Linked DNA regions of Arabidopsis thaliana. The protein of the gene in region 1 interacts with the protein of each later gene in a pairwise test. Each region holds a gene or a part of one and is shown in the gene's direction. Other genes may lie near its edges. The genes, in order: CZF1 and AT4G37180.

The links.
Region 2: the proteins of CZF1 (region 1) and AT4G37180 interact in binary tests that used the Arabidopsis thaliana proteins (3 or more experiments, as listed by UniProt).

The regions. Positions count from the first base shown.
Region 1 is NC_003071.7:16,770,340-16,775,539, forward strand, and holds CZF1 (zinc finger (CCCH-type) family protein), read left to right. Parts: upstream 1-1,657; 5' UTR 1,658-1,914; intron 1,915-2,189; 5' UTR 2,190-2,197; coding exon 2,198-3,991; 3' UTR 3,992-4,395; downstream 4,396-5,200. Other genes in the region: TBL28 (TRICHOME BIREFRINGENCE-LIKE 28), read left to right, coding at 5,172-5,200. UniProt on the Arabidopsis thaliana protein: Involved in salt stress response. May positively modulate plant tolerance to salt stress.
Region 2 is NC_003075.7:17,502,770-17,507,204, forward strand, and holds AT4G37180 (Homeodomain-like superfamily protein), read left to right. Parts: upstream 1-1,794; 5' UTR 1,795-1,878; coding exon 1,879-2,104; intron 2,105-2,175; coding exon 2,176-2,357; intron 2,358-2,447; coding exon 2,448-2,763; intron 2,764-2,877; coding exon 2,878-2,954; coding exon of another isoform or gene 2,955-3,011; exon of another isoform or gene 3,012-3,047; coding exon 3,048-3,338; 3' UTR 3,339-3,735; downstream 3,736-4,435. Other genes in the region: AT4G37190 (plasma membrane, autoregulation-binding site, misato segment II, myosin-like, tubulin/FtsZ protein), read left to right, coding at 4,386-4,435.

The DNA.
Region 1 (5,200 bases):
AATAAGTGAATATTTAATACTATATACTATAGTATATTTTTGCAAAAGTTAAAGGTGTTGCATTAATTTTTTGATAGCAAACAATTAAGGAAATGGGGGAAAAAGTGTAAGCGGGCGGCCAAGTGAAGACATTCTCTGTCGCCCACCCAAACACCAAAGAAGAGAAGGCGTGCCTCACTTTCCCTCTTTCTCCACGCACTTCTCCTTGCCCGTGTTTCTCACTCGCTTTACCCTAATCACTCCATTACAACTATACCTACAAGACCATTAAGATAAGCTTATCAATAAGAACACTGAGATAAAGTTGATCTCTATTTACGAATTGTTTACTACCAATAGATTTTGATTCGTACCAATCTTTTAAAGTATGTATGTATTGTTTGAATAGTAGTTCTACCGAACCAAAAATATTTTAATTGATCATGTAAAATATATTTAAGATTGTTGTGTGTTAATTATAGTGATCTTTAGAAAAAAGAGTAGCCAACGTGATAATGAAAGCGCGTGTTAAGAGTATTGAAACACTCACACGCTTGTGGAGGTTACCTGCTAAGTCGGTCGATTTGATCGATGGTGGGTCTTTTACACATCCCCAACGTCATTTACCATTTATTCAACCTCATATATTATGTTCTTGATGATGAAAAAGAACATAATATTTTTTTTTTTTTTTTTTTTTAATTTTTTTTTGATGATGATGAAAAAAAAAAATATTATGTTCTTTTTTAATTTCTTTTTAATATTTTTGACAGTAATTTTATTTTAATCTTATTTTGTTACAAATAGTTTTTAATACCTTAGGACCTGTTGGAACTTGGAAAAAAACAATATTTTTTAATATCTCAGGATCTTTGCCCATACATGTTTTGGGCACCCATGCGTTTATATGAAAAACAGCATGCAGATGTAAAATATAAACAACTGTAGATTTGGTCAGATGTTAAAATTTAAATTATGTCTTTTGAAATGTGACCTATAATTGTCCAGATAGATATACATAACTATTTAGTAATTGTAAGTCTATTTCCTGTAATGTATTCAGCTAAATGCATGTAGATAATCTGATATCACATACATCTATAGCCATATAGAGAATGCATAGTAACATCAACAACATATAAATTTTGGGCTATTTTCTAATGAGGGTTTTTGAGTATAAATGGATCTCCTAAAACGAGTTTACCGGATGGGTAAGGTAGTAGTTCCCTTTGAGTTTTCTTTCTGCTTTGTATAATTAAAACAAAGTAATTGATTAGGAACTTAGTAGGTCCTAAAGAGAACCAACAATGGTTTCGGTTATAAATAAACCAAATGGGTACATTATCCTTATATCTAGAAACTTTAACCAAAAACAAGATGTTATCTAGAAACAATAAATACATCCGGAATGAGACTTTTTCTTATGTAAGTCGATACAATGGGGGCATTGTTTTATTTCCCTTCAAATGAACTTTGCTTTTTGATCATTTTAAAAAGCCATATTGAAAAAATCAATGAGATAGGAAGATAGATATTATAATATTCTTTTTATAAAAAAGACAAAAAAAATACACTAAAACAATTGAATAAGAGTCAGCAAAACAACGACGTCCTTACCTTTTTTAAAAGTTTCCCAGTTTTGACTTTTGACCTAAACCATTTCCATGTAGAAAGAGAGCAAAAAACAAAACAAAACAAAGATAAGTAAAAAATAAAAATGATATAAAGAAGGAAGAAGAAGACCGAGAAAGGTAGACGAAAGAAAGAGCGTACCTTCCTCTTTCCTTCTTCGTAAAAACCAAGTTCCTTTTAAAAGGAGCCTCTCCTTTCTCATTTGATCCTTCTTCAAAAACCCCAACCACTTCTTCTCCCCAAAAACCTCCAAAGTTTCAATCTTTACTTCTCTCTTTTTCTCCAAGTTATCTTCTTTTCTAGGTATGTCTTGATTCTTTCTCTCTCTGTTTTTTCCTATTTCATTCAGGATTCTGGGTTTGGTTAAATCTTTAATCTTTATGGTTTTAATGGCTTGATTTTGACGAAACGGTCGTGTAATTATTCATTACTTTGCTTAAATTGGGGATTGATTTTGTGTATAAAGAAGAATCTTGAAAATGAAAAATTGAAACTTTGAATCGAAAGAACTCAATTTGCGTTGCTCTTTCTCATTCTTTGTTGCTTTCTCCTAAAAGTTTTTCACTTTTGAATCACAGGAAGAGATATGTGCGGTGCAAAGAGCAACCTTTGCTCATCTAAAACCCTAACAGAAGTCGAATTCATGAGGCAGAAATCAGAAGACGGAGCTTCCGCCACGTGTCTCCTCGAATTCGCCGCCTGTGATGATCTTTCATCGTTTAAGAGAGAGATCGAAGAGAATCCATCGGTGGAGATTGATGAGTCAGGGTTTTGGTATTGCAGACGGGTCGGGTCTAAGAAGATGGGTTTTGAAGAAAGAACACCACTTATGGTTGCTGCTATGTATGGAAGCATGGAAGTGTTGAATTACATAATTGCCACAGGAAGATCCGATGTGAACAGAGTTTGCAGTGACGAGAAAGTCACTGCTCTTCACTGTGCAGTTTCTGGCTGTTCTGTTTCTATCGTTGAGATCATCAAGATCTTGCTTGATGCTTCTGCTTCACCTAATTGTGTTGACGCTAATGGGAACAAACCGGTTGATTTGTTGGCTAAAGATTCTCGGTTTGTTCCTAACCAGAGTAGAAAGGCGGTTGAGGTTTTACTGACCGGGATTCATGGTTCGGTTATGGAAGAAGAGGAGGAGGAACTGAAGAGTGTTGTGACTAAGTATCCAGCTGATGCATCACTTCCTGATATTAACGAAGGTGTTTATGGAACTGATGATTTTAGGATGTTTAGCTTTAAGGTTAAGCCATGTTCTAGGGCTTATTCACATGATTGGACTGAATGTCCTTTTGTTCATCCTGGTGAGAATGCAAGGAGGAGAGATCCTAGGAAGTATCCTTACACTTGTGTGCCTTGTCCCGAGTTTCGTAAAGGGTCTTGTCCTAAAGGAGATTCGTGTGAGTACGCGCACGGTGTTTTCGAGTCTTGGCTTCACCCGGCGCAGTATAGGACACGGCTTTGCAAAGATGAGACTGGTTGTGCTAGGAGAGTTTGTTTCTTTGCTCATAGACGGGATGAGTTAAGACCGGTTAATGCTTCTACTGGTTCTGCAATGGTTTCACCAAGGTCGTCTAATCAGTCTCCTGAGATGTCTGTTATGTCTCCTTTGACGCTGGGATCATCGCCAATGAACTCTCCTATGGCTAATGGTGTTCCTTTGTCTCCAAGAAATGGTGGTTTATGGCAGAACAGAGTTAATAGCCTTACACCACCACCGTTGCAGCTTAATGGTAGCAGATTGAAGTCGACTTTGAGTGCTAGAGATATGGATATGGAGATGGAACTTAGGTTTCGCGGTTTGGATAACCGGAGACTTGGTGATCTCAAGCCATCCAACCTCGAAGAGACTTTCGGATCATATGACTCAGCTTCTGTGATGCAACTTCAATCACCAAGCAGGCATTCTCAGATGAACCACTATCCGTCTTCACCTGTGAGGCAGCCTCCTCCTCATGGATTCGAATCTTCAGCAGCCATGGCAGCTGCAGTGATGAATGCAAGATCCTCAGCGTTTGCGAAACGCAGCTTGAGTTTCAAACCAGCTCCAGTAGCTTCTAATGTCTCCGATTGGGGATCACCAAATGGGAAGCTTGAGTGGGGAATGCAAAGAGATGAGCTGAACAAGTTGAGGAGAAGTGCCTCCTTCGGCATTCATGGAAACAACAACAACAGTGTGTCACGCCCTGCTAGAGACTACAGTGACGAGCCAGATGTGTCGTGGGTGAACTCACTGGTGAAAGAGAATGCACCAGAGAGAGTGAATGAGAGGGTTGGGAATACGGTGAATGGTGCAGCGAGTAGAGACAAGTTTAAGCTGCCGTCGTGGGCAGAGCAAATGTATATAGACCATGAGCAGCAGATTGTGGCATAAGAAGCAGAAAGAAAGATGTGGGATTTATATTGCTTTTGTCTTCTGGGCCTCTCTACACAGAATCTAACAAATCTGGCAATAATTCTTTGATTTGTGTTTGACCCATAGTTTGGTTACTAGTATATGTTTTTTTATGTTCTTTTTTTCTTTGTCATTCTCTTGTCCTTCGTGACACTATGTAATGATTAAAAGCAAATAATTGATGCATGAGTTCAAATGTTCTTTGAAGGATCCATCTTATTAGCTTTGTAATTGTTGTGATATCTTAATCTTATTGGTTACGTATTTCAAGTGCTTTAGAAAAAATGGGCCTAAGAGATTTTGGGGAGCTTTTTTGGCTTGTTATTTTCCTCACATATACAACTTGCAGCTTATTATTTATTGAAAATCTTTTCTTATCTAGATTCAAAAAGATTTCCACAAATTTTAATTAACGACCCCTGATTACAAAGAAACCTACCCAAAGTCAAATTTTGTCCATAATTTCTATCGTGTAGGACACTAAAAAGTAAAAACTCATACCTAATTGGTTTCTAGTAGAAACGGTCAGTGCACTATCTTTCTTTCAGGTTATCGAAGGAAAAAAGATCAGTAGAGTAGCATCGTTAATAGTAGAGTTAAGAAAAGCATGTAACATGTGGTCTACTTTTTATTTCACAGAAAAATACCATACCATGTGATAATGTCGCATAAAATCTTTACTTTTCCGGTGTTATCGATGTGTGTTAATGCTAAATACCCGAAACAATTTCAAGACTCAATTTTGAACTATCGAATAGAATTCTTCTAAAATGGATGAGGAAAAAGTCGCTGGTTTAAGTCGTGCGACCCTCAAAATAAAGTTAGGAATATAATCACAAGCTGCATACTTTCATTAATCAATTTAAAAAGAAACGACTAACTTTATTCTTTCTTTGCCAAACTCCATAATTAGTTAAGTCTATGAATGAATGTGAAGAGAGAGTTTTACATTTAAAATTGTAAAGGGCAAATTATAGAAAATTCTGTGTCCACCAATTAGGCTTGGCTCTTTAACTCACTGTTCTCAATCTTTAATAATCCCCATCTTCTTTTCTCCTATATGATTATCTCTCTTTCCTTCGTGCGTGTTATCTCTCTGAGCCACATGCCGACACTTACATAACTGTTGACCAAGTCTCTCTTCCTTCTTTATCAAATCATGCAACCTTCAAGAACAAGAGTTTCATT
Region 2 (4,435 bases), on another chromosome or scaffold:
TTGGCTAGCAGGAAAAAGCATGGAATAAAGTAGCTTTGCGTACTGGGATCTTTTACATTGGATTATGCGAAAGATCCTTTTTTCTCATTTTGCTAGAGAATTCTTGAGTTTTATTTCATATAATAATATTAAGTATAATTCACCTTTTGAACGATATAAGTTTTGATTAGTAAAAAAAATGGATGAGTAGTGGAATAATTTGCAAGAAATAATGGTGCTACATAAGAATGATCAACCTAGTTTCTTGAAAAGAATATCAACACTGAAATGAACAAAAATATTCATAATACGATAACCAAAACCAACTAAACCATGAAAAGGGCACTTATAAACACAAAGGTTACGTGATTTCTTGAAACTAATGCTCACCGTGAATGTAAATGGACGTTGCGTGTGGTAAAAATAAAGAAAAGACAAAGAGATCTTTTGACCACTTCACTCTTTTAAAATCACATACGTATGTGTCGATTTCTAATACAGCTAGTAGCTTGTGTTAGCAAAATTTAGTATAATTTTTTTCCGGGTAAAATGTTTAGTATAATTTTTTAGTAAAATTTAGCAAAATTTAGTATAATTTTTCTATTCGAAAAGATAAACTAAAGCGAATATGTCCTATACTAGTAAAGATTAATTATTTATACGGCTCTACTAATTTAGTCTAGTTATATGATAGTAGTACAAACTGAAGTACGAATTTATGTATCGTACTACTTGCATAAACGTACATGTGGTTTTGCCTATCTAAGAACATCGTTTAATTAAACCCGATTGTATAGTTTGAATGTTTTATCGGTTTTTAAACGAGTGGTTCGAATTCCATGAAACCGAGATTTCAGTATAGCTCTGTGTTTGAGATACAATAACAAATACATGAATCCATAGCCCATAGGCCATACACGGTTATGCCCATTCGGTATTGTTGGTCTAGCAAAGTTATTTCTGACGATGTGCTACATGTACTATGTGGTACATACCTTTTTTATATTCAACATTTAATCTCATATCATGTTGACTATAAATGTATAACTTTCAAGCTCATAACATTTAGGTTATAAAAAGTCAATATTTGTTGTAGTCTAAATCTTCTTTATTTCAAACGTAATTTTTTACTCCAAAAAAGTGTAACTTATCTACTTTTAATTGTTAAAGTAGGAAAATAAAATTTGATTTTTCTTTAAAAAAGTAGAAAATTGTTAATTTTGTACAAATAAATTTGATCTTTCTTAGTTATAGTTTGATTTTGTTAATTCCTTATTTTTAATTTTTTATCCAATAATTGAGTTGCTTTATTTTATTTTTAGTCTTTCAACAGATTCTTTTTATATTATCTTTAATAAATATTTTAGTGGGATATTTCACAGCCTGAACCACTCCATATGCAGAAAATAGTGTTTGTAAAATATTATAGATTCTTCAGAATCCTCTTTTTAAGACTAATTTGGGAAAATATTAAATACAGGATAACAGGAATATGAGAATCTTGAATGAGAAGAGCACTAAAAACAAAATAAATAACAAGTTTCCCAAAACTGAAAATTGTAATATAATTAATAGCCGAATTAAAAGGAAAAAAATCCTTAAAGAAAAATATAAAAAAAGAGAAGAATAAATATATATAAGTGAGTGTAACGATTCGCCGCGTGTGTACGGGCATCACAAAAAGATTCTTTCTTCCATTTAAAGATAAATCTAATTTTAATATTGACAAAAACACCCTCAAGTCTCCACTTATTTACAGCGGCTACGGTTCACCGCGTCCTTCTTCTTCTTCCCTAATCTCATTTTTTTTTTGTTCTCATTTATCTTCTTCAGCATCTTCATCATCTTCTTCTATATATACCTCTTTAAGCTTGCTTCTCTTTGTCTTTATCTTGTCCGATGGTTCAAACAGAAACCGATCAAAGGATGGGTCTTAATCTGAATTTGTCTATCTACTCTTTACCAAAACCCTTATCTCAATTTCTCGATGAAGTGTCGAGGATCAAAGACAATCATTCCAAACTGTCTGAAATCGATGGTTATGTCGGAAAATTAGAGGAAGAAAGGAACAAAATCGATGTTTTTAAACGAGAACTCCCTTTATGCATGCTCTTATTGAACGAAGGTATCTTTTATTAAAATTCTCTCCTTTTCTTTTTTTTATCTTCTCTAATCGATTCGTGTTTTTGTTTAAAGAGATTGTTTTTCTCTGTGTAGCGATTGGGGCGTTGAAGGATGAGGCTAGAAAAGGGTTATCACTGATGGCATCTAATGGGAAATTCGATGATGTTGAAAGGGCAAAACCGGAAACTGATAAGAAGAGCTGGATGAGCTCTGCCCAGTTATGGATCTCGAACCCTAATTCCCAATTCCGATCGGTACGATCAAAAAGCAACCCTTTTTATGTTTTGTGAAGAATCATATGTTGTGTGATTGATCTTGTTGACCTTATGATCATGTTTTGACAGACAAATGAAGAAGAAGAAGATCGGTGTGTGAGTCAGAACCCATTTCAGACATGTAATTACCCTAATCAAGGAGGGGTATTTATGCCATTTAACCGTCCCCCACCTCCTCCACCACCAGCTCCTCTGTCTCTCATGACTCCAACATCAGAGATGATGATGGATTATAGCAGAATTGAGCAGAGTCATCATCATCATCAATTCAATAAACCTTCTTCACAGAGTCATCACATTCAGAAGAAAGAGCAGAGAAGGAGATGGTCACAGGAACTTCACCGTAAATTTGTTGATGCTCTTCATAGGCTTGGAGGGCCACAAGGTTAGTCCTTAACCTTAGTAAAGGATCAAACTTTGCTTTAGATTTGATTGATTGATTATACTGAGATTGTTTTGTATTGTTGTTGTTGTTGTTGTTGTTGTTGTTGTGAGACAGTTGCTACACCAAAGCAGATTAGAGATTTGATGAAAGTTGATGGTTTAACCAATGATGAAGTCAAGAGCCATTTACAAGTAAAAGTTCTCATCTTTTACAGTAACTTAAACTTTGATGTGTGGATGAATGAATGATTTTGACAGTGCGGTGAAATGAAATTGTTATTGCAGAAATATAGAATGCATATCCGTAAGCATCCGCTGCATCCGACAAAGACTTTGTCATCGTCGGATCAGCCAGGTGTGTTAGAGAGAGAATCGCAGAGCTTAATAAGTTTGTCGAGGTCGGATTCGCCACAAAGCCCACTTGTTGCAAGAGGGTTGTTCAGTAGTAATGTTGGTCATAGCTCAGAGGAAGATGAGGAGGAGGAGGATGAAGAGGAGGAGAAGTCTGATGGACGTAGTAGCTGTAGAAATGATGAAACAAAGAAGAAGAGACAAGTGTTGGATCTTGAGCTTTGAAAGTCTGCATAGTGAATGATATAATCTTTACCAACTTATGTTATATATGCTCAAAACTTTGAGTTTGTTCGGGAGTTTTTGTAGATGTAAACATGAGAGTTGAAATAAGGAAGAGGATTTTGAGCAAAAAGTAGGGTTTGTTTTTGCAAGAGGAAATAGATAGAGAAGAGTGTTCGAAATCCTCTGTGTTTTTTTTTTTTTTTTTTTTTTACTTCATAAGTAAGATAAACTCATATATCAAAGATTTTGTTTTTATACTTATTACAGTCTCAACCATGTGAATGAAGGAGTCATTTGTTTAGTTTTACCAGCTCGTCATACTAATTACCTTTTACCTTCGAAAACAGAGGATGAAGAAACATCACAATCTTTGTCTCTTTCTGTAACTCATCGTTTTCTACAAATCTACGTAATCTGAGAGAATAAGTAAGGGGAAAAAAAATAAGAATCTTTTATTGCATAAAATCGTACGAAAAGATAAGATTTTTCGTCTGAAAAACGACAAGATTTATTTTCACTATTGAAGGAATTGACAATGTATATAGAAAAAATCTACTCACTGATTAGTGATTTGATGAATAGTTTACTTCCACGAGATTTGCATGTTTTGTGGATAAAGCTTCTTGCACCATGTAACATACATTAGCCAATAGTATAGGGTAGATATTTATCTTTTGACATAATTTTCTTCAAATTTGTTATTTTTATTCAAAAATTCAAATAGTTACTCTCTGCTTTTCACAATTAATGAGTGTATATACTAAAGACATTTAAGCGGCAATGGAATATTTGTTCAAATTGGTTCGGTCGATTCAGTTTCTAAACCCAACCGGTTTATTCACCCGGTTATTTCGAGTCAATTTATGTGGTTTTGTGGTCTCTGGGCCTCACGGGGCCGCCTCTCCGTCTTCATCAACATTCTCAAACTCTTTTACAAATCTAGGCTCGACGAGGGTTTAAGCAATCACCGGAGCTCTTAGTCTCTTACGCTGTGAGCTAAGAACCGACCTTTTGCTTAGTTTCTTTCAAGTCTCCAATCAAACAACCATGAGAGAAATTGTGACGATTCAAGTTGGAGAATTCGCAAACTTTGTTGG